Linked DNA regions of Lonchura striata. The protein of the gene in region 1 binds, or shares a complex with, the protein of each later gene. Links are inferred from orthologs where the notes say so. Each region holds a gene or a part of one and is shown in the gene's direction. Other genes may lie near its edges.

Evidence for each region.
Region 2: the proteins of OBSL1 (region 1) and MYOM1 are in contact, whole or in part, in a crystal structure (PDB 5FM5), measured with the Homo sapiens proteins. The link is inferred for Lonchura striata from reciprocal best matches to the Homo sapiens genes OBSL1 and MYOM1. Residues at the interface, in NP_056126.1 of Homo sapiens: Pro243, Lys253, Phe255, Val257, Asn258, Gly260, Lys261, His262, Ala263, Lys264, Phe265, Arg266, Cys267, Tyr268, Val269, Met270, Gly271, Lys272, Pro273, Pro275, Trp279, Lys305, Tyr308, Tyr317, Cys319, Ala321, Arg322, Asn323, Ser324, Ala325; in NP_003794.3 of Homo sapiens: Arg616, Pro617, Ser618, Ala619, Pro620, Trp621, Thr622, Gly623, Gln624, Ile625, Ile626, Val627, Thr628, Glu629, Glu630, Glu631, Pro632.

Annotation. Positions count from the first base shown.
Region 1 is NC_134610.1:16,232,487-16,245,123, reverse strand, and holds the start of OBSL1 (obscurin-like protein 1), read left to right. Parts: upstream 1-7,345; coding exon 7,346-8,384; intron 8,385-9,149; coding exon 9,150-9,419; intron 9,420-9,625; coding exon 9,626-9,886; intron 9,887-10,220; coding exon 10,221-10,526; intron 10,527-10,611; coding exon 10,612-10,890; intron 10,891-10,986; coding exon 10,987-11,262; intron 11,263-11,390; coding exon 11,391-11,663; intron 11,664-12,637. Other genes in the region: gap junction gamma-1 protein, read left to right, coding at 1-552, 682-689; INHA (inhibin alpha chain), read right to left, coding at 2,708-3,441, 4,317-4,683. UniProt on the Homo sapiens protein: Core component of the 3M complex, a complex required to regulate microtubule dynamics and genome integrity. It is unclear how the 3M complex regulates microtubules, it could act by controlling the level of a microtubule stabilizer.
Region 2 is NC_134603.1:49,284,306-49,296,441, reverse strand, and holds the start of MYOM1 (myomesin-1), read left to right. Parts: upstream 1-6,362; 5' UTR 6,363-6,501; intron 6,502-10,025; 5' UTR 10,026-10,088; coding exon 10,089-10,516; intron 10,517-12,136. UniProt on the Homo sapiens protein: Major component of the vertebrate myofibrillar M band. Binds myosin, titin, and light meromyosin. This binding is dose dependent.

The DNA of each region.
Region 1 (12,637 bases):
GCAGCCGCAGCCCCTGCCCACACACTGTCGACTGCTTTGTCTCCCGCCCCACCGAGAAGACCATCTTCCTCCTCATCATGTACGCCGTCAGCGGGCTCTGCCTCTTCCTCAACCTCTGCGAGCTCTTGCATCTTGGTGTGGGGCGCATCCGTGATGCCCTGAGCCAGGCTGATGGCCCCCCACTCCCAGCTGGCGACAGTCCTGCACCACAATACCCCAAGAAAGCCCCCAGCGCCCCGCCCACCTACCACTCCCTGAAGAAGGAGCTGCCGCAAGCCCCACTGCCCAACAGCAAGCTGGACTACCGAGAGAGCCTGGCCCAGGGGCGCTTCGCCCTGGCTGGAGCTCCCCCGGTGCACGAGCTGGACCGGCTGCGTGAGCACCTGCGTCTGGCCCAGGAGCACCTGGAGGTGGCCTTCCACCTCCAGCCCCCGCCACGGCCCCCCAGTCCTGCCCGCAGCAGCAGCCCCGAGGCCAACGGCATCGCCGCCGAGCAGAACCGCCTCAACCTCGCCCATGAGAAGGGGACCGCCGCCTGCGACAGGACCACGGGTGAGCTGGGAGGGGGGGATGGATCCTGCCCACCGGGGTGGAGGCATGGGGGCTGCCCCGAGGCTCCCCTGGAGAGAGGATGCCATTCCCCCTGAGGTGGGTGCTGACCTGCTTTTTTGCTCCCCACAGGGCTGTGAGTGTCGCCAGGAATAACAGCGGTGTCTGCCGGAGTGGCTGCCACTGCCACCGTGGGATAGGCGTCCTGCCAGGAGCACAGGGCAAGGAATGCCACACGCCTGCCCAGCGGGGCAGTCTGGGCAGCTCTGTCCTAGTGGGCAGCAGAGGGTTCAGGGGCCATGGGGTTCATTCCTACTTAATTTTCAGAAAGGGAATATCTTATTTTTGTACGTTTTTATAAACTCATCAACATGTGCACCCTGGCATTTTTATACTCCATCCCAATCTCCACTCTGGGCCTGTGCCCCCCATCTCCTGTTTCACCCACTTTTTTTCCTCCCACACCCATTTTCCCCAGCATGTTGTCCTTGCACCTCCCTGTGCCCCCCATGCCCTCTACTACCCATGGCAGCACCAGCTGGTGCTCTGCATGTGCTGGTGATTTTGGTACTGCCCCCTGAGGTGTGGGTGACTTAGGGGAGCAGGCTGGGGGTCTGGCTGGCCAGGCCAAGCTGTGGGACAGAGTCCTGGGCTGGCATTACTCTTGGAGGGGGTGGGAGGGGTCCTGGTGGCACTGCGCTGCCACAAAATGACTTTGTGGCCTAAGGGGCTGTGCTGCACAGCATCCTGGCATGGGGCTATGAGTTGCGTGGCTGGCCTGCTTGGAAATGTCTGTGCAGAGGTCAGGGGCTGTCGTTCCCACTGCCTCCGCCCTGTCCTGGCAGGCTGCCCTTGGACCAAAACTTGTCTCCTCCCACTCTGGCTGCAGGGCTGGGACCCCCCTGCACAGAGCCAGACCCTGGCCTCACAGTGTGGGGACGTGGTGCCCCGAGCTGGGCTCGGCCAGGAGCCAGTGGAGCATTCCTCATCATCTCAGCCTGGGTCACATGGGGACTTTTGTAGCGTTGTTTTTTACTCGGAAATGATTGTCACTCTGTTTTTCTTTTTTTTTTAATATCTATATTAGTAAAGGCTGAAGACGTTTTGTACTGAACCGTTGCATCCGCTCATTCGGGAGGAAGGGGTGGGAAGGGAATCCTGTGTGTGCTGCCGTGGGTGCCTTGGGACCTCCCTGCTGCCCGGGGTGACTCAGTTGTTCCTGCCATGAGGAGGCGGCTGTGGTCGGGGCAGCCGTCATCGTCATCATCCTGCCGTCATCGTCATCATCCTGCCGGAGAGGGATTGCACTGGCCACATTCCTTTTTGGCCCTGTCACTGTCAAGGGGCCAGGTGAGGGGCTTCCCTCTGCCTCCCCATCCTCCCACCATCCCCATGTCTCTCCAGCCCCCTGCTGTCCCCGTTACTGTACAACTGTTGCCCAGAGCAGAAGGGATGTTGCTCTGCTCTGCACACCCCTGCCTGGGGCAGGATCAAACCCAGCCACACCCTGCCCATTTTGGCCAGCATACTCCAGTCCCTTCTCTGGTACCCCAAATCGGAGCTGGATGCCTCTAACAGTATTTGCCCATCCCCTCATTTCTCCATCTAGATAGAAGCAGACATTTCCAGGCTGCTTTAGAAAAGGGAACAAGTTTATTTCACTCATCCCATTTAGCTTTCCAACAAGCCATGCTGCTGGGAGAGGGCTCACTTGTGGTGCCACGTGTGCTGCCAGCCCTGCCACCAGTGTGAGGTCCTGGCATGGGCTCACCCAGGCACATCCTGATCCTGCTGCAACAGCCTGGCCCTGCCTGGAGCACAGGGGAAGCTGTTGAACTCTGCAGCAGGAGGAAGACACCAATCTTTGTGGGGGTGCAGAACTGCAGCAGGGAAGCAGGTGAAGAGAGATGAGGGCTAATCTGGTTGCAGGCAGCAGCCTGGCTTTGACAGGACAGTGATGCCTTTGCCGTAGGTTGTGCCTATCCATGCCCCGCCATGCCCTGATTTGCTCTGTGATGGTACCAGGGCCAGCCCAAAAGTCTGGCTTGTGCGAGGGAGGGTGGTACAGCCAAACTCCCCCATCCCAGCGGCCAGGGTTCCACTGGGAAAGCAACTCCTCCTGCGTGGGATCATGGTCCGGGCTGGGCTGCAGGACGCCCTAGACACAGGTGCAGTCCTGGGCCAGGATGTTGGGCACCGTCTCATACTTGAAGGAGTACCCGCCGTCGGAGGTGGTGCGGACGCGCAGGGAGCGCATGGTGCCGGGCAGGGCAGCGCAGCAGAGCTGCACGCCCAGCCGGTGGCTCAGCCCGTGGCCTGCAGCGCAGCTCCCGTGGCAGTAGTGGAAAACAAAGCTGCTGGGATGCACGATCCACTTGTCCCAGCCCAGCTCCTCGAAGGAGATGTTGAGGGAAGCCCGGCGACAGTTGGTGTGGGCAGCCAGCTCCTCAGATGGACGCTGCAGCAGGCTCAGGGCGGCCGGGGACCAGGGCATGGCAGAGCGACGAGCCCTCTCGCTGCCCTTGGCCCGGGTGGTGGCCACCAGGAAGGGCATCTTGTCCCCCTCAGGCAGGCAGGGGCAGCCAGGGCAGCGCACCAGGAGCACAAAGAGCGGCTGCCAGAGCTGGGGCAGCAGCACTGGGGCCAAGTGAAACACTGTCCAGTGCTCGGGTGTCCGCTCCGCCATGGCTGTCACCGGCACCCGGCCCTGAGGGGACAGGGTCAGCACCTCAGGGAAGGAGTGGTTGGGGGCAGCCGAGGGGCCCGTGTAAAACCAGAGCTGGGCAGAAGTCACCACACGGCTCAGGGTGTGTGCCGAGGGCTGGAAGAGGTAGGTGAAAATCCCTTCTTCCTCCAGCAGCTTGTCTGGCTGTGTGGGCTCACAGGGAACGTCTGTGGGGGGGAAAAGATGATCAGGGTCTGCACCCAGACCTGGGGAGAATCCCCAATGCCAAATCACAAGTGGGATGTTGCAGAGGTCCCTGGAATGCTGGCAGGGCTCCTGGCTGCTGGCATAGGCTGTGGCTGGGTGCAGAGGAGCCGGTGCTGTGCAGCAGCTTCTGTGCTGTGCCCCACAACTGATCTCTGCTATGCTCTAGGCTGGTCCATTACTGTCACCCCTGTCCCCCAGTATCCTCCCCCATAGCTGGTTGTCTTGCCCCTTTCCCCCAGAGACCACATCATGCCCTGTCCCCCAGCATTCACCTCATAGCTGGTAATCCTGTCCTTTTCCCCCACCTCTGCACCCTGACCATCTCCCTGCATCCTGGCCCATCTCCCAGTCCTGTCCCATAGTTGGTCATCCTGCCCCCTTTTCCCCAGCATGTGCATCCTATCCCATCCCCCAGCATTCTGCCCCATCTCCTGCTGTTATTGCTGGTCATCCTGCCGCATGCTTCAGCATCCTGCCCTGTCCCTTAGCATCCCAACCCACCTTCCAGTATCCTGCCCCATTCCCTAGCATCCCACCCTATTCCACCCTGCTCCTCATCCCTCTCCATGTCTCCACATCCTGCCTGGCCAGCTGTTTCCTAGCCTCTCAGCACCCTCTTGTGCTGCCTGTCCCTCTGCTGTCTGTCCTGAACTGTTCTGCTTGTCCATGCCTGCCATACCTTTCCATCTGGCTCTCCACCAAATCTCACTCATGCCCATGTCCCAGCCTGGCATACCTTCTTCCCCTTCTCCCACCACATCAGCCTCGCCATCCTTCAGCGTCTGCATTACTCCAACCCCCACCCTGCTTCACCCTTTCATCAGGATGTTCTCACCTGTGGCAGGGAATAAGATCACCTGGGAGGTGTCCTCCAGCTCCTCCGGCTCCACTTCAGTGTTTTCAAGAACGTCTCTCCGGTGTACCCTCCTTGCTTCCATCTGTGGCTCCTCCTGGAGAAGGGGGGGACTCAGATGTTCCAGCACCCGAGCCCGCACCTTGGCCAGGATGAGCTGCCGGTCGGCACCCGTCCCGGTGCAGCTGGCCAGGGCGGCGGTGGGCAGCATGGCAGGCAGCAGGTGCAGCAGCAGCAGCATGGCCGTGGGGCACACGGTGGGGTGCTGGCCTGGGGGGCTCTGCCGCGGGCTTCTGCCTGCCTGCCCAGCCCGTCTGCCCGCAGCGCTCCCCCCGGGACAGGGTGGCATTGAGATCTAGCTGACACTGACGCAAACGTCTGCTCGCCGTGAATATTATCTCTGAGCTGTGAAAGCGCTGAGACGTCTGGAATGCAAGGACTGCAAGGACAGTGTGGTCTGGGGGGCCGGCCCCCGGCCAGGGGGTGTGTGTGGGGGCTGCTGCCGGGAGCGGTGCGTGCGTGGGGCTGGGGAGGCCGGGCTGCGGGCAGGGTGGTGCCGGCAGCCGAAGCTGGCAGGGATGGAGGGGGTGCTGGGTGAGCTTTGCAGCTGCTGATGCGAGGTGCCTCCCATGGCGGAGGAGTGGAAGGTCTAGGGCTTCTGGGGAGCTAGTGGGAAGTGACAGCAGTTGTGCACGGCAGGGAAATCTGGGCAAGGACCTGGTGGGGATCAGAGGCCTGTGAGGCTCTGGCATGGGGGAGGCGCTTTGCAGGTGGCAGTCGCCAGGGCAGCCAAAAATGTGAGGATGGGGCCTTGGAAAGGGCAAGCTGAGGGACAGGGTGGTTGTGGCATCTCCATGACAGTCCATGACATCTCCATGACATGATTAGCAAGATCCTGGGGACATGAAGCAAGAGGGACGGCAAAAGGTCCTTGCTCTACCTGAGGCTGCAGAAGGCTGGAGAGGGGAGAAAAACAGATGAGACCTTCAAGGGGAGAAGAACAAATGAGAGGGGTGGGCCAGCTGGAGACCCTGCAGCAGGTCCAGGAGAAGGATCCTAGGGTGCTGTTTGGGCTGTCTAGCCATGGCTTGGCTCACAGGGTGGGAGTTGCAGGAGAGACATTGGCTGTAAGGAGACCCAGTCCCCTTCCTCTCACCACTGCCTGAGGGGACAGTGCCTATCCACTAACGCTGCATGTGCTGTGGATGGTGGGCAGCCTGTGCATCCCCTCTGTGCCTCTGGCAGCTCAGTGTCCTGCCCATCCCATCCAATATAGCCTGGCATTTCATGCAGCATCCAATGCAACACATCCCCCCATGCAGCATGTCCCGTGTGACACGTCCTATCTCACTGCAGTCTGGTGTCCAGCTCAGTGTACAGCACACCATGCACCCTGCACCCCATGCCACGCTCTCCACAGGGCACGTTGTCTCTCGCTGCTGGCTGAGCCGGCGCAGAGGCACAGCCGGGCCTGCAGCACCCCTGCAGCTCTCTGGGGTGGCTCCTGCTGGGCTGCTATACATAGGTAGGCCAGCCCAGCCTCGGTGAGGCGCTGAACGGAGCAGGCTCACTCTTATCAACCCCGCGTGTCATCAGAGGGTATTTTTGGGGACAGCAGCTGCAGGCATTTGTAACATTTGGTCCCTGCGCACTGACACCCAGAAGGGGAGCTGGGGGAAGAAGCAGGAGCTGGGTGCCGACACTGAGAGACACAGGGGAGAGGTGGCAGAACGAGGTACATGTGTGGGGCAGGGGTCTGGGCTGGGGGACTGCCTGGGGCAGGGAGGGTGGTTGGGGAAGGGAGTGGTTGAAGGGTGCAATGGTGCAGCCGAGCCATCAGAGCTGTCCGTTTGTGTCCAAAGGAGCTGCTGTGGGGTGGCCCAGGGGTCAGGGGCGTGTGGATGGAGAGATGAATCTGAATAGATTCACTGTCCCAGGGGTAGGGCTGTGGGAGGAGAAACTGGCCACAATCCCTGTCGCTCCTTGGGGACCAGCTCTCTCCTACCCTCTGGCTCATTCAAGAAGTATTTTTGTTTCCCCTCCCCCTGCCTGAGCAAGTCAGAGACGACCCTGCCCCAGTCCCAGCCATGGTGTGGGCAGAGGGTGGGTGCACTCAGCGGGGAGAGGCACACAGCACCCTGCCCTGCTCCTGCCCTGGTGGTGGGCACGGTTACCCACAAAGCTGGGGATGGAGACAGTGCCCTTCCATAGCAGGACCCACCTCCCTGGCTTTCAGCTTTCCCCTGGGGTTGATGATTTCCAGCTATGGTTTTGAGTGCACAAGGGCTGGATCCCGCCTGTGGGACTACTCTCTAGAACGGGGACCCCTTCCCCAGAGCCCCACTTCGCCCCAGGGCACTTTGCCCTGTGGGGTGGCCGCCCGGCACAGGGGGTCCCCTGCCCACCCAAGTCCGGGAGGAAGTCCCAGCCCGGGTCCAGCCGGGGCCTCGCGCCCGTGACAGCCCCGTGTCAGCACCTGCCCGCTGAGCCGGCCCAGATGCTGCAGGAATGCGGCTCTGCCACCACCCGATACTGCAGGAATGTGAATGCCCGGCGGGTGGGGAAGGGGCGGGCGGGGGCCCTTTTGCCTTCGCTGTCCCCCAGCCCCAGCACCCAGCAAGCAGCTGCCTATGCTCCCTGTCTAGGCCGGGGTCCCCCACCGCTGGAACTGGAGTCCCCTCTGCAACCCTGGGAAAGGGTGCAAGTGTCTCAGGCCCCCGGGGTGCAAAGAGCCACAATTTGTCACGTCTCCTATTGCCTTGGGCTGGGAAATGGATGGTTTGGGTGACACTGGGACAAATCCAGTGGGACTGCGCTGCTCTGGATGACAATGATGCTCAGGAGGTCCATGATGGGGATTTTGTGGGTCCCTCCTAGCTGGGGGCTCCACACTGGTCCATCTCTTCGATGGAGCCTGAGCCTCCACTGTAGTCTGTCTGTACATCCCCCCAGGCTGATGATCCCTGCTGCTGCTCCAGCCAGCTGTCTGCCGTGAGCCTGGGGAGTTGGTGATGGAGGGGTTCGGGGGAGCCCCCAGGTTCCTGGCCTATCCACGTGCCTTCACGGTCCAAAGTGGCACCAATGCAGTCCTGAGCTGCCAGATCATGGGTGATCCCCAGCCAAGCATCCTCTGGGAAAAGGACAAGAATACCATCGAGCCCTCGGGCCGTTTCCATATGGAGTCCAAAGGGGACCTGTACAGCCTGCTGGTGTCCTGTGCCACCCCCGAGGACAGCGGACTCTACGTCTGTAGGGCCAAGAATAGTGTTGGCGAGACTTACGCTGCCACCGTGCTCAGGGTAGAGCCAGCAGAGCCGCGAGAGGGGGAGGGATGCTCAGGCAGTGTCGCACCTGCCTTCCTCATTGCCCCCTCGTCCATGCGGGTGTGCCGGGGGGAGGATGTGATGTTCACCTGCAGGGTGTCTGGGCAGCCCTGCCCTGTGCTGGAGTGGGAGAAGGATGGGCACAAGCTCTCCGAACTCTTTGAGAGCAGCCACTTTGCAGTGGGGCAGAAACCAGAGGACTGGCACTTCCTGAAGCTGTTCGGTGCCCGGCCCCAGGATGGGGGTGTGTATGTCTGCCGGGCACGCAGCGGCTCCCAGGAGGCCCTGGCTGCCGCCGTGCTCCTGGTTGAACCCCAGGCACTGTTGGATGGGCTCCCCAATGGCTCCCCTGCCCACGGCCCCGAGGTACTGGCGGAGCGGCAGCGGTGGCGGCGGCACGCAGCGGGACGGCGCATGGCACCGGAGACCTGGGTGCCCAATGGCGTCGTGCCGGCCAGGGTGCCAGGGGCCAAGGCATTTGCTGTGAGCGCAGGGAAGCATGCCAAGTTTCGCTGTTATGTTACTGGCAAGCCCAAGCCAGAGATTATCTGGCAGAAAGATGGTGAACCTCTCGCCCCTGGCCGCAGGCATCTCATCTACGAGGACCGGGAGGGCTACTTCATCCTCAAGGTGCTGTACTGCAAACCTCAGGACCAGGGGCTATACATGTGCACTGCTTCCAACACTGCTGGCCAGACTCTCAGTGCAGTGCAGCTGCAGGTGAAAGGTAGGAACACGTCCAAGAAGTGTCAGAGGTGGCCAGGCTCTGGGGGGCTCAGGGAAGTTTGTCTGGCAGGGGTGTGTCTGTGTGAGAGCCCAGCATCATGGGGCTCCTTCCTGCCCTGTGCAGCCAGGGTCACCCCAGGCTCCTCAGGACAGAGCTGTGAGCTGGAAACAGGGGATGCTGGGCTTCTTCAGGAGCTGTGTCCTGCTCCGTGTCTCGCTTTCCTTGCAAACAGAGGTGTGGCTTCTCGGATGACTGCAGGTGTCCAGCCACAAACAGGGAAGAGGGACAGTGCCTTGGTGACAAATTTCCCTGGAAGTGCTGAGTGATTCTGGCAGCCAGCCCTGCAGGGCACGGCTCCAACAGTCTGCACTGGCAGCTGCCCAATTCCCCCCCGAGCCATCCAGCCAGCTGGGGACAGCCCATGGCTGGGGTTACCCAGGAACTGGTGCAGCCCCTGCCTACACCCCACTGCTCCCCTCCACTGAGATGCCTGCTGCAGTATGCTGGCTTCCATGCCCCTGCATCCCCCAAAACTCCTGCTGAGATACTGGAGGCATCCCTGTGTCTCCCCAGGCTGTGCCCTGGTCCTCCCTGCTCTGGGATATGTGCTTGTCAAGGCAGTGTCTGTCTCATGGAAGCCAAAGGAGAGGGCAAAGGAGGGACAAGAGTTTGCTGCTCTTTGTGAGCTGGGATCACCTTGAGCAAAGGGCTGACAGTGGATGCTGTACCCCACGTGCCCTAAGCTCCTGTCTCTTCCTGTGGCAGAGCACCGGCTGCGGTTCCAGGTGCAGCTGGCAGACGTGGAGGTAGCAGAGCGGGAGGATGCAGTGTTGGAGTGCCAGGTGCCACTGGAGACGATCCCCACCTCCTGGTACCTGGAGGACAGAGAGCTGCAGCCCAGCCACAAGTACGTGATGGAGGAGCAAGGGGTGGTGCGGCGCCTGACCATCCGCGATGCCCGCATCGATGACGATGGCATCTACCTCTGCCAGATGAAGGACAAAGGACGCAGCATTGCCGAGGTCTCTGTCCGAGGTGCGTCATGTCTCCAGCGGCACAGCTTTGCCTTCCTATTCCCCTCCTTGCCAGGGTCCTCACTGCTCCGTGCATTTGCCTTCCCTCCACTTGGCTGGTGCCTGCTGCTGCCCCTCCTCAACCTCCTCCTCCTCCTCTCCCACCTCAAAGAGCCCCATCCCGGTCCCCAGAATTCCTCCCTGGCCCTCATATATCTCTTCCCATAGGGGTGATTGTGAAGCGACTGCCACGGAAGCTGGATGTGATGGAGGGGGAGAATGCAGTTTTCTGTGTGGAGACACGGGATGTGGTAGAGGGCAGCTGCTGGAGCCGGGATGGGCTACAGCTGCGGGAGTCACCCCGCACCGTGCTTAAGAGCTTCAGCAGGACACACCTCCTGGTGCTGGTGCACGTCACCCGCCAGGACGCGGGCATCATCTCCTTCACTGTCGGGGAGTCACAGACATCCTCCCAGCTCCGAGTCAAGTGTAAGCTCCTGAAGGGGTCCTGTGTCCTCTCTCCTGCCTGTTCATGGGGGGTGATACAGAAGAGGGGATGGCATAGGCAGCCAATATGCTGGGGGTGTGATGCAGCAATGTGTTTTATGGGAAGGGGGCTTTGAGCAGAACTCCAGGATCCTAGCCTCACAGGCATTCACAAACCCCTGCAGCCAGCAGCATGCTACACGGGAGCAAGACCATCCTCTCCATCAGAGAGAGAATCCCCAAAGAAACAGGCTGTTACCCCCACTTATCACTTCTACCACCCCACCTAGAACCTCACTGCCATCCCCAAGCAGTCAGCGTGGGCTGTAACTTGCAGGTGTGAAGCACGACCCTCCGAGTGCACCAGTAGCAGCTGAGATGAGCGTGGTGGAGACTAACACAGCTCTGCTGACTTGGTGTCCTGCACCTGACTCCCACCTCCGCCCCGCCAGCCACTACCTGCTGGAGCGTCGGGAGGCAGCGGGAGGGGAGTGGGTGCAGTGCCTTGCCACCGACCTGCCCAGCTGCGTGCGGGTGCTGGGTGACAGCGTGCCTCGCGAGGCCGACTACTGTTTCCGCATCTCTGCCGCCAACAAGCACGGCAGGAGCAGACCTGTGGAGTTCCCTGGATCTGTGCATCTCGGTGAGGAGACAGGCAAAAGCTGGGATGTCGTGCTGCAGTGTGCTGGTAGTCAGTGCCACTGGGGCTCAGTCCGACTGTGCTCCAGCCCCAGCAGCTCGTCTGGAGAGGGGTCTGCAGGACACGTGGGTGAGGGATGGTGAGGATGCACAGTTCTCCCTGGAGCTGTCAGCTGCAGTGCATGGATCCTGGTTCCTCAACGGTGCCAGGCTGCGTGAGGAGGAGGATGCAGGCGGCCGGTGCAGTGTACAGCGCCATGGGATGGAGCACTCGCTGCTGATCCGAGGAGCACGACTGGTTGACAGTGGGGCCCAGGTCACCTTTGTGTCCGGTGGTGTGCGGGACTCAGCTATCCTGCATGTGCAAGGTGATCAGGGCACTCACCCTGGGATCCTACCAGGACCCCAGCAGCAGGGGCTGTCATGCTGAAGGATGCTTCTCACCGCTCCTAAATGTCTCTCAGCCCCACAGGTCCGCATTGCCCCAGTGTCTGAGGCTGAACGGCTCCGAAACGTGCCAGCAGGGATGCCTGTGCTGCTAGAGTGCCAGGTGTCCACCCCGGATGCCCCTGTCTGCTGGCTGAAGGACGGCAAGGCCGTGCCCCTGGATGACGTTATCGCGGTGCAGGCAGAAGGCTGCGTGCGGAGGCTGCTGCTCCGCTCAGCGTGTCCCTCAGACTCTGCTGTGTACACCTGTGACGCTGGGGATGATGCCGTGAGCTTTGTGGTGACCGTGACCGGTGAGCTGGGGAATGTGTGTGGCAGCCTGGCCCCTACCTCCTGACAGTGCTCCTGCCCTGCTTCTTACCCCCATCATGCAGCTGAAAGCTGCAGCTAGTCATGTTGAGGCCCACATTCTCCCTGGCAGAGGTGCCGGTGAGGATCATCAGCTCCAATGAGGAAGCCCCCCACGCCTACGTGGTCGGACAGCGTGTGGAGCTGTGGTGCCAGCTGTCCCGCCCAGCAGTCCCAGTGCACTGGTACAAGGATGGAGAGGAGGTGGAGGTGGGTGAGAGCCTGCTGCTGGAGCAGGAGGGGCCACAGTGCAAGCTGGTGCTGCCCTGCGCTCAGACACAGGACACAGGAGAGTTCGTCTGCGATGCTGGTGGGGACTCTGCCTTCTACACCATCACTGTGGCAGGTGCGTGTGATGCAGGAGGGCTGGTAGGGTCTCAGGGGGCTTTCTTTGCCAGTGCAGGATGCCACAATGCATGTGCTGGTGTCAGTATTGCTGTCACTTGCTGTGATGGGATATTTGTCAGACATGCTTTTGCTCGGTGCTCACCAGCAGTTTGGTAGGCTGCTCAGTTGGGGTCCTTGTGGGACTCAGACCAACTGCCAGAGGGAGCAGCTCACTCAGCCTGTTTGAAACACTAGAGCACACAAGAGCACCCAGCACCTGCACACCAGGGTGTTTGCCAGACTTCTGCCATGGCTAGTAACCAAGCCCTCCTCCAAGGTCCTAAAAATAGTGGGCCCAGCACCTGGCATAGGATGACTCATGGTTGGTCATTGCTCTGATGGACAGTGTTAATTGCTGACCTGAAAATTAACAGTTGCCTGGAGACCGATGGCTGGGTGGTGTTTGCTGGATGGGAGCAGGGCTCAGCATCCTGTGGCGGCTGCCCCAGCTGTGAAGCGGTTGCTGGCATCACTGGCTGGCAGAGGATAATGAAAGCTGAAAGCAAGTGAAAGGCTTCCCCTTGCTGGCCCCAGAATCCACATCCCACAACCACGGGAAGGCAACCAGGGGCAGAGCTAAAACCCAGTTGAAAGTTGATGTGACCACAATGGTAAAGCCTCACTGTGATGTTAACACATGGCAAAGGGCCAAAGTTGATGGCCAAGGATGTAGGAGTGAAGGTAGGATGAGTGATAAGAGATGCTGAAGAGTCAGTGGAGTGGTGGCTGCTGGAAGGGTGAGGAAGGGAGGGGGGTTTAGTGAGATAAAGGCAAAATTGTCAGTGGGAAGGACAGGCAGCATGGGTTTTGGGAAGAGGCAGGAGGTCGTGTGCTATGTGGGAGTGAGGGGCATGGAGAGCTCTGCTTCCCTAGACGGGGAGAGGGAACACCATCTGCTGAGGCTCAGACTTTTGGCTGAGCAGCTTTGCATCA
Region 2 (12,136 bases), on another chromosome or scaffold:
GAAAATTTGTAGATGAAAAGTAAGCAAGAGTTTTTAAAAATAGCGCATGAGTGAGGGAGAAGGTGATCAGTGTGCCTCCACATTAAATTGATGTGGTCATGCTCTTTCCTGTGAGAAGTGGTAGAAATACAAACACAAATAAGAGAAATAATCAGACACAGGGACAGAAATAAGTCTGCATAAGCACAACATTGACTTAATAGTTCACTGCTAAGTGTTTTCATTAGAAGGCTGGGCTTTCTTACTATGCCCATTATGCCTCATTTTAAAGCATCATCTGGGTTTTAACAGAGCCTTGATGACTTCAAGCTCTTGTGCTAAAAAATATTAATGAAATGCCCACACAGACATTGTCTAGAGATATATATGGAGGAGATTTATATTAACTAGTTCATTTGGACTAGCTATATAGTGCTAAGATCAGGTTTGGCTGAAAAACTCACCCCAAACTCATTAGCTCAGTAAATATGAGGTGAAAGAGTCCTGTGCTGAGCTTTGAATTGTCAAAGCTACTCCATCACTAACGTTGGATTTAGTTAATTAAATGTCTCATGGATAAATCTCCCTATTAGACCTGTTATCAGGGGGATAAAAGGTGCTCTGCTTTCTGAGCCAGCTGCTTGAGTAGGCAGAGAAGGATATTTTAATAGCTGACTTTCACCCCCCACCTGGCCCTTCCCTGCCTGTAAGTTGCTCTTGGTACCTTTTTCTAGTTCCACTACCTGCAGAGATTTCTCACTCTGGCAGTGAATCCACAGCTGCTTTTCCTTGGCAGCCCCAGCAACCAGTGAGGTTTTGGGCACATCTGGTGCCCATTTGGTACATGTATTCCTCTCAACATCCCTGCAGTTTGCTTAGTACTGAAAAGAGGTGTAAATCACTCACCCAGATGTCATTGCATTTCACTGGTGGAATACACAGGCACAGTACTTTGGAGGAGCACTTCTAAAATTTATTGTAGCTAAATGATCTGGAGGAGATAGATTTGCTACTTTAGGATTCATATTTTGCTGCTGTTGTTTAACCTTACACTGAATTATGAGGGTTTCTTTGGGTATAAAGATGCTGGGTTGTCAATGGCAATCATGAGAAATGAGGCAGGGGTCCTCTACTTCCTTCCAGTCACTAAGGGGAGAAGGCTGCTGCCACTTTGCTGGTGTGTCCAGCTGAGGGGTTGTTCAGTGGGAAGGGCAGGGATGTGCTAACAAGACATTCACAGTTTCTGCTAGAAAGCCAGTGTCGCTATAGGACACGTGAAAGCACGATGCGAGCCACCTGCTATTTGCAAGGTAAAGAAGAAAGTTTATTCTCTCAGTCCAACTTTTATGCTTTCCCAAAGGTGACATTAGATTGGAGAGTGAATGGGCCACCTCTCCAAAGACATTGTACAAACCACTAGTACATCAAGTTTCTCCACCCCCATAAAAGAATGCAAAACAATATGTTGTTTATAGAAATTGTGTGGGAAAGTTCTCCAACAGAATGTAAACTCAGAAGGCTTTAGAAAATCTTAAGAATCAGGGCGACAAGCCAGGAACAAGCTATAGCAAGAAAAAGACAAATGAGGAACTAGAAATATTCAACAGTTGATAAGCAAATCCCAGTTGATTTTCAGGAAGTCAGTAAAGGCTGAACTATCATCTGTAGGTATAGTGTTATACTGAATTCTAGAATTTTACTGTAAACAGCTATGTAATTTTTTTTTTTTTTTAATAAAGGGCTTTGTTAAGCCACCACAACTTCTCCTATAAGTCACTTGAGCTATAAGATAATAAACTAGTTAAGCAACAGAGGTTAAGGTGAAACATCCCCTGGAAAGGATATTGAAAACCTGTCCACTTTGATTTCTTGATTGTTTTCCTGACTATCCAATACTAACCATCATCAGACAGAAAACCAATCTTGCCCTCCAATCTTTGAAGCATCTTATTTTAGTTCATGCCAGTCCCTTTTGTTGAGTCTCCAAACTTAAAGTTGTTCAGAAAGGAAAAAAGACCTTGTCCTACAGCATGGATGGAGAAACCAGAGTATTGGCCCATTACATAAAAATCAGGATTAATCCATTTCAGAGTTAAACATACAGCTGCCTTTGTGAAATATAACTGCACTGAAGTCTGAAGTCACCAGCTATAGCAGATTTTTTAAGTTACTGAAAAAAACTATTCAAATAATTTGATTAACTCTGAATATTTGTGAAGTCCTGGTGGGTTTGGCAATTGTCTCGTAATCAATTGGTGTTTGGACTATGCTGTTTATGTTTGAATGACTTCATTTAAAGTTAAATCACACCTGGGAAATAATCACCAAAATTATCTTTGACCTGCATGTCCACCCATCAGATCCTAATCTCAGTTCCTTCTGTTCTTCAGTGTACCTCCTTAATTTCTTTAAATACTAAACAGTCTAATGTTCACCTCTTTGTCTTGATCAGGTTGTTTTGCATTCACCACCAATTTCTAGAAAACTTTCTTACTCATGATTGATGTTTGAAATTTGAAGGTCTTTCCTGTGGGGAGTGTTGAATAAAGCAATGTATGAATTTCTGATGCAAATACTTCTCAAAACTTTGTTCAATTGTTTGAGCCTAATTGTTATATCAGACATAATTTCCAAGGGTGATGGCTAAAGAGCTAAAACTATTTGTTTCTTCTATTAAGACATAGCCACTATCCTTTTAAAATAAACATTTGATTAATTCAAAAGTATTTCATCAATTAATGTGAGGACAAAAAAAAAAAAGAAAGAAAAATGTGCTTGTGTAGTGGATACATTTGTGTTGGCTGTGCCTGAATGATTGTGGAAATGATTATTGTAATATCTGAAGCAATTGCTTTGTATTATTGCAATAGTAGTTTACACTGCAGTAAAATGATATCTACAGATTGTTTTCTTTATAATGACATACTTCAGTTACATGGGCTATGGATAACAGAAATGGGGCTGACAATCACTATAAAGTCACTGGTTTTAGTGCTCCCCCAGGGGCCACTGGAGCTCCCCACAGGCTCTATCAGGACCTGGCAGTCAGTGCCCATCCCACTGCCCCAGTCCCAGACACTGGGCACCTCTGTTTGGTCAGTATCCTGCCTAAACTATTTAACTCATATTTTGAAGTATATTACCTGCTTCTAAAAGCTGCATGCCTAAGTGGCAGGAGCTCAGATATTGTGCCTCAGTCAAGTTTTCTGGGTTTGAGTTATCTGCAGTTGCAGATAACAGTTACCAGGTACAGCTCTGGTCCTTCAGCAATCATGTGTCAAGGTGTTTTGGCCAGTCTTTCCAAGGTACAAAGCAAAATACAACAATGATATTAACAACTATCCATCATTATTGGAATAAAGGTATTGAAAAATCTGTGATGTTTAGGAAAGAATGATAAAATGTGGGAGGACATTTGACAACCATCTGTTTTGATATGAAAGTTAAGATGACAGGAGATACTAGGGATTAAAAAAAAAATCTAAGTGCCAAAAGCACTTACTTAAAGAAATTATAATAATTTTCTTTTGGAATAATCTGCTATATGCTCTTGAGGTAAGGTTTTATTATGGACAGAAACCTTTTTAATGTTACAAAGGAAAAGAAATGCTGTTAGCAGGAACATTTTTATGTGACATTTCCAGTTCCAGAGAGACGCTGCAGAATAAATGTTGCTAATAATGGTAAGGCAAATATTTCTCTATGATGAAAAATTGATCTAGGCACCAGCAGTCAATAGTTTGAGAGGATTTGGAAAAATTTCTACCCATATCAAGGAGACAGTGGTCTTGTACTTCGTTCTTCAGGTGTGAGCCCAGACACTCAAGCTGTTGTAGGCTGCAGTCAGATCCTTCTGTTAAAAGGTTGACTCCTTGTTAAATATATGAGCTGAGAGTGATGCAGAGAATCAACAGAAGCCTGGATATTAATATCTTCTTATGGGTGAAGGTAGGGAACACAGACCTCCCTTCCCTTCAGTGGGTTATGAATATGCCTAGTTGGAGTATAATGGACAATAGCAGATCTTCCTAAAGCAATTTTTCTTCTTGATAAAAATCAATTCAGAAAACTAGACCCAAGTTTGAAAGCAAACTCCAGAAGACAACCCACATGCTCAAAGCCTCTGTTCTCCAAAAATTGTTTTGCTAGATTTATTTAAGATTAAACTCAAATGAAAGAGATGGACTGGGATGATGTGGAATTTGACTTATGCCCACAGCTACAGGATGCTATAACTCTCAAAACTTCAGGTGACAGTCTGGAAAGGTTTTTGTTTTGTCATGTTGGGCTCTAAATTAATATAATATAAATTAATGAATATCTTTACCATACAGAAAAACAAACTGGTCTCTAGCACTATGTAGTTCTAATTAGGAGAAGACAGAACTAGTATTTCCTAAGGGTGTCTCTCCCAAGCCCAATGTAACTAAATACATGTGGATATAGAATGCTGCAGGGATTCTGAGGCTTGCAGAGCTCCAAGTGATTTAAAATATGTACTTTGATACTCAAATAGGAGTTCAGTGATTTGAAATTAGCTGTGGATATTATCTCATAATAAAGCTAGATCTGAAATTGTGTAAATTTAAGGGGCAAAATAATACTAAATATTTTGCTGTTACACTATATCTCCATTTTATTTACAGAATAAATGGAGGCAGCACAGAATTTGACAACTGTATTGGACTTCATAGTGCCATTGTGCCTTACAAAAATACTGAAAATGTTGTTCAGATTTTTATCCCCCACATGTGAGCTGTACAGATTGTCTTGCAATTAAAGCAGAGAAGTGTGATATTTAATTGCTTTCATTTCTCTCCATTTTCTTGTATTCTTAAAAAGCAATTTGCCTGTCATTAAGACTTCTACAATATCAGTGCAAATGACCCATGGTGAAGGAATGGATCAGGGTTTGTACTTCAATCCAGGAGTATGTCCCCTGAGGCTCCATCTACTCTAACTAAAAATATACATTATAGCCTGGAACCTATAGCTCAGTGGCGCTGCTCCTGGCACAGTATTCTGGGGGAAGAAAAGCTTGCATTAAGGTTCCCATTTTTCACTCTGACTGTTGCAGATTTGGGCAGTTTCCTGACCCACAATACAGTTTCTATGACTGCACAGCTTTTTGCTGGCCATGGTTTCTGTCCTCATGATCAAAAACCAAAAGCCCCTAAGTTTGGTGCACCTGAGCAGCTCCTGGTGTGGGAGGTAAAGAGGCTTCTGAACTTACTGCATGGTGGAGCATCAGGCAGGAGGCAGTGGCTCCCCAGGGAACAAGTAGCTAGTGGGGACAACGAAGGGATTGCATGTAGAATCAAGACAGTGAGGTGAAGAAGAAGGTACTGATGAACTATTGTAGAGAAAAGCCTGGGGTCCTCTAGCCTTATCCAGACCATCTTCTGGTGGTTACACCCATAAAGGGGACAGTGCTAGGAGAACAGGAGGATCTGGAAAGTTCTTGGTTGTGTTCTATGGCAAGTGTGAAAAGAAGCTATAGCAGAACTGAGAGGGTTAATGCAAATGAACAAAATAAAATGCACTCATCACTTTTATTTAAAGCTAAATTTACAGTGCAGAGATAAATTGTATTTACAATGAAGTCACACTGCATTCCTACTATTAGATCTCAGATGACAGAACTCATTCTGATGTAATATTCAGCCACACAGATTACTCATTTTCATGCCAGAATGCTGGGACCAAAATGGAAGAAGACAAGCCCATTTAATTATTCTTAGAGGTAATACTGCTTAATTTAGAAACAAAAAGTCAGATTTTAGAGCTGCATTGTTTATATCTACTTAAATGCCTCATGTGGTCATGTTCTTAATTTAGCATTTTATCTTAAAGAAGACGATAAAAAAGTAACACTGTCAACAGAACAAAGAAAATACATTTCCGTTCAAATGTAACTCATATGACTTTAGAGAGTCTTGATAGATTGTCTGTCATTAAGCTGAAATATTTATACTACCTGTACTGTGGTTTGGCATTAAAAAAAAGAACCAATAAAATGTTCAAATTCTTGTACCAGAGCAAAGGTCAACACAGGCATTGGTCTTTCCTAGTTTCTGGTTCATGACACAATTTTTTTTTTCTCTCCTACTAAATCTGATTTAACTAAGGAAAAAAAAAATCCTAGAAATAATTTTGAAGTGGAATGCTGATTTTATTCAGAATTTAGTGAGGATATTTTAAGGGGAGAACTCTGTATCTCCTTTAGTTTGAAGCTGCTGTCACCATGTCTTTGCACAGAGATAGTACAGGGTATCGGTATCTGTCTCTGTCTCTCTCCCTCTTCCATGCTATATTTATAGCATCCCCCTGGCCATAAAAGGTCTGGACTGGGGCTCTGACATTCCACTGACTGCAGGCATTATTTTTGTTCTGGACCTTGAAGTCCAGTCCTTACCCCTCGTCGTAACTACCTCTTTCTTTGCTGGCTTCATTGTTGCTGTATTTTTGTTCTATTCATCCGCTTCAGAGCTCTTCCATTTGCTGCCATTCATTTGGATCCTGGTAAGTGGTTTTTTTATGCCAGAAGGTTTTACATGTTCAATTATTTTTAATCTGAATCTGTAATGCCAAGTTGATAGTAGTTCCCTTTATTCTTCTTAGCTCAGCTGTTGAGGGATTTGTGGATGTGAATTGAAGACATCTGAAGGTTCAGCTGTGAACCTGAAAGAAAGTAGTGCAGGGGCCCTTTTATTTTCACTCAGCTATCTTTACATATTGTCACAGTACTCTCAAATGAAGCATGGGTTACTGAGATACAGGAGGAGTTTGTCATGTCATCCTGAGGGCTTAGAGAAGGTTTAAATAACATAAATATTTTCTTGTTGCTTAGGATCTTATCTTTGCTTACAAGAGTTTCTTTTTTTAAATCTATTTCACTATTTTCATTGATTGATGGAGTAGATCTTTAAAGAATTACACAGACTGATAAACAGCACTAGAGGTGAGGCCAGCTTCCTTTAATGTGTAGCTATGAACTATGGACAAGTAGAGAACTGTCTGCCTGCTCAGTAGTAATTTTAAATATTCAGTTCAATAGCTGATAAAATATAGTTCCAAAAACTGTGAATTCATCTAACTATGGCCACTAATGTTTTTGGGCTAAGCTCTGAAGTTGCCCTCACACTGAAGGGGCTGGTTGGTGCATGCAGACTATGTGGGTGCATGTATCATAGATAAAACTTAGGAGATGGGAGTCAGTCTGACAATCAGGCAGTGCTCCAGAGAGGAGAAAAGTCCCTGGAACTTTCTGAGTTACTTGTCATCTCCGATAGCATCACACTGCTGTATCTGATCAGACTAATGTAACCAGCTTATCCTGGCCTGTGAGCAATCCGTGATGTTTCAGAGGAAATATAAAACATAACACAGACTATGATAAAATGCCTGTTAAAGGAGTTTCCTTTTACATGATGTAAGTCAATGCTGGTCTTTGATTAGATCATTAGAGCTGACTTAGTTAGTGTTCAGTGCCTGCCTTGCTATAATAATCCTTACTTCTATCACAGACTTTTACTCCTGAGGACTGTGAGACAGTCAGTGAGATCTTTCATGTTTGGAAGAAAAATGTTTCCTTTTAACTTGTTCTTTTGGTCTGATAAAAAGTAAATTAAATGCCTTGTTTAACTTCTTAATGGGCAACACACACAGTGCTTCATACTTGTGGATCACCTTCCATGCTTTGAAGCCTGGAAGATTTTGGGCATGCCTGAGCTGAATGTCTGTTAGCATTGTGGCTGTTGTATGAATGATGCAGCCAGCCAACACTTCAAATAAAGCTGGTGAAGATGCACCATAGTACTCTGCAGAAGGAAAACAGGATGTTCTCATGTTCCTTTCCTTTCAGTGTGCAAGACAATATTCTTCTGTACACCTTAACCTTCCTAGGCAGTGATCACAATGACTTACAAGCCCTAAACCCAACTCTGCAGAGGTGGAAGAGGGAGACAACACAGAAAAATTAAGGAAAAAATCTTCTGAAACTAGGGAAATTAAGAGGAATTACATACTACCAGTAGCTTACTAAGTGAAATAAGTAACAACAGAAAATACTGACAGGTACTAGAAACAAGAATGCTAGACAGCATAATTGCATTCTTTTAGACTGACATGAAAAAATAACCAGCATTAGGAATAAGAGAGCTAAAAAAGAACATCAGCTTTTGCCATAGAGACCAATGGGCTAACACTCTTTCTCATTTCTCCTTCTTCCTCAGATAAAAATAAAGTAAGTGTATAATTTGGTCTCCTTGAAGTCTCATAGTTTCTGTTTGGTCAGGATATCAGCAATTTCTTTTACATAAAAAGTTTCTGAATAAATTTCTTCCTTGTTGACTTCCTGAAGCTAAAGTTATCCTACAAGGAGCATTTCCCTTGTGAGATCCCTGAAATATAAGAACATTTTGGTTTTGGTTTTCGTTTGGTTTGGGTTTTGTTTCTGGGGTTTTTGGTGTTTTGTTCTTTTTTTTTTTTATCCATAATTTGCCTTGGTGAGGGCAAATACCTCAGCAGCTTTCAAAGAGAATTGTTTGAAATTTGTTGACTTGCTTTCAGAACCAAATACTAAAGGAAAAGCCAAGGACTGAAATCTAGGGGGCATAAAGACCAGCAGGGGAAAAAAACCCCACAGAATAGCAGACTATTCTGAACTGGAAGGGACCCACAAGAATCATCAGCGACCAATTCCTGTCCCTGTGCAGGACAACCCAAATTGGATATCTATACTTTCATGAAGTCATGATTATCTTACAGTTCTGTAAATGTATTTTAAGTCCAAAAATTAAATAGTTTTTCATTAGTATGAAGAAATCATGAAGCAGAACAAATTTCCTACTGTTGTGATCAATTAAAAAAAAAAAAATACTCAAAGCAATAACAAACACCTCTCACTCTTGTTTTTTGATCTTCTTTAAATCCTTGTTAACACTTCCTTATTGTAGGTCATTTCTATTACTAATGAGAGACCTTTTCAGAGACAATCCTAGTAGCCATGTGAGCCTAAGAGAAAGAGAAAGAAAGGTTATCATATGGATTACTTGAAGCAAGCTTCCATGTCAAAGTAGAAAAATCAGTTATAACAATAGCAAAATAAAAATGCAAAGTAATGACTGAACTGCTGGTTTTAAAACAAACAAACAGACAAGGGAAATTCTTTCTGCACTCAACTTTCATCCCACTTTGAGAGGGGAACTACCTCTCACCTGATCAGAATTTGCACTACAAGTGACTAAAGATAATCAACTGATGATGTGCAAACTAGAATTAAATGGGTCTATCATCTGGACAAAGGGTCTTGGAAACCTTGAATATGATATTTTAGGTTAAAAGAAAAGGATTTGCATTGAGGAACATGATAATATTTTAACCATTGCATACAGGCTGGATCCCTGATTCAACTGTAAAAGAATAATGCATAATAAGCTCTTTTAAATTGAACCCTGGTATCATGTACAAAACAATTACTATAATGCACATTTAAAGAAAAACTGACTTCCTTCTCAATCTTAGTGTTTCAATTCACTGTTGTAATCATAAATGGAAGATTAAATTCAATCTGAAAATTGGATTACAAAAATAAATGAAATGTTCATATATTTTTGTTTCAGCTTTTATAGGCTCATTGGATTTGCTCTTGCCTTTAAAAATAATTCATTACTTTATTATCTCTATTGTAATTGAACAAAATTCTTTATACTATCTCTGAAGAAGCGAGGCACACAGACTTTCATTAGTTTGCAGTAATAAGTGAGCACATAAAACGTGAATAGTTTGCAGTAGCAGGGAACCAACTATAAATGAACAGACACAAGAGTGCAAAGGTTTCTGGTCATGATGGGTGACATGAGCATCTTGAAACTTGAATATGAACCTGTCTGAAAGTCTAAATCACATCATAAAAAGATAACTCTAAATTCATTGGAGTTGATTTTTCAAGTTCAGTGTTAGTTTGTGTGAAGTTGGGTTTATTTGTATGCTAACTCAGGAGTTTCCTTGACAGTAGTCCTTATGTTTGACCTATTCTTTTTCAGACATTATCCTGTTTTTATTTGCACTCAGAAAAGTGCAGCAAAACCCAAAATTCGAAGGCATCCATGATGTCTTTACCATTCTACCAAAGACACCACGAGCACTATGACCGTGCGTACCGCCACAAAGCGCTGTCGTCCACTGTGAGCCAGTACCAAAAGGAGACAAAGAGCAAATCTGCCCTCTATGCTCAAGGATCTGCTGCTTACGCCAGGGGCTCTGCTGCCTACCGCCACTCGTCTGCAGCAGGCTTCAGCCTTGAATCCTCAGCAGCTTACAGCCATGGCTCTTCAGCCCACGACCTGGAGTCGGCAGCCTACAGCTATGGATCCACAGCCTACGACCACTCTGCCGCGCAAAGCAAGAGATCTGCTGCCTACAGCCTTGACTCCGAGTCCCTCAGCACCAGCTCAGCTGCCTACAGCCACGCATCTGAATCCATCAACAAGCTGGCTGCAGCCTATCGGCTGGGATCTGAAGCCTACAGTTTTGGGTAAGATAATCCATCTTTGAAACAGCATCCTGGTAGAAAAATATCCAACCACCTCCCATTGAAAACAATGGCAAAACTCTCCTCCTCATCCACATAAAGTTTCTCTATAACATAAAATACATGAATGTATTTTCCTGGTCAGGTGTTTTCCCTTGGCTTTGGCAATGGGAAGGACTGTGGTCAGCTTAGTTTGTTGAACAAATCCATGAGTGATTCTTGGACTGTTGTAAGAATAGGATTGGAAATGCTGATGTGGCTGAATGCTGACATATTCACACTCCAGATGGTTAAGCATGAGCTGCCTCTCCTTCCAAGTTCTTTAGTCACGTTAATACAGCTGAATTTAATACGAAGAGTTGAGATAGCTTTGGATTGAGTCTGTCTCTTATCTGGCAAGGTTGGAGTAGTATAAGAACTCAAAGCTCTTCATGAAAGTTTGAGTTGATGTGTCCATATATGATTAATTCTTCTTTGGCCTAATAGTTTCACTTTTGTGCTGAGTGGTCCAAGAAACTGAAATTTTCACACTGTATATTGGTTGATGCATACTATTTCCAAAGTAGAAACAACCTGAAGTGTCCCATCTTACAAGAGAAGAATAGCTATACTCAGCTCTTTTTTTTTTTAAATTTAAGATCATAAATATTGCTCAAGCAATTACATTAGCATAATACTTTGCTATAATAGCCTCATAATATTTGTATGCATATATATCAGAGATTTACAGAAATTAAGGAAGTATTAAAGTAAGATTAGAGCAGCTGTTAGCAATAGAGGAAACAATCAACAAATTATAGCTCAAAAACATCTGCTTGCTGTTATATTAATGCAAAATTAAGAGTATCATTAGCAGAACTGATCAAAACTTGTCCACCAGAAAATTTAAAATTTAAAACTGAATATTCTCCCCAGACTGTGGATAATGGTGAAATCTTGGCCAAAATCAATGAGAGAAAGACTACATGTACCACAGTAAACAATACCTTGTGATTTCAGCCTTCACTGAAATCTTGGCTTTCAGGAAGCTCAGGGTCCAATCTCTATTTGCCCTGAGTGTTTTCAGGAATTTGATCCTCAGGCTGTTAAAGTCAAGGTGAATGACTTTACTTAACTCTTTACTGCAAGAAAGATATTGAGTTGCTGGAACATGTCCAAAGAGGGGCAACAAACCTGATGAAGGTTCTCAAGTACAAGTCTTATGAGAAACAGCAGAGGGAAATACAGTTATTTATCTAGGAGAAAGGGATACTCAGGGGAGACCTTATCACTCTCTACAGCTGTCTGAGAGCGTAACCAGGCAGGCCTTGATCTCATCTCCCAGGGAATCAGACAGGATGAGAGGAAATGACCTCAAGTTGCACTAGGGGAGGTTTAGATCAGATATTAGGAAATATTTCTTCACTGAAAGGGTGGTCAGGTATTGGAATAGGCTGACCAGGGAAATGGTGGAATCATCATTCTTGGAAGTGTTCAAAAACGTGGCACTTAAGGACATGGTTTAAGGGTGGGTTTGGCAATGCTGGGTTACTGGTTAAACCTGATGATCTTAGAGGTTGCAATGATTTTATGATTCTGCATTGTATGATTCTGTATTCTGTATGATTGTCTTACGGTCTGATC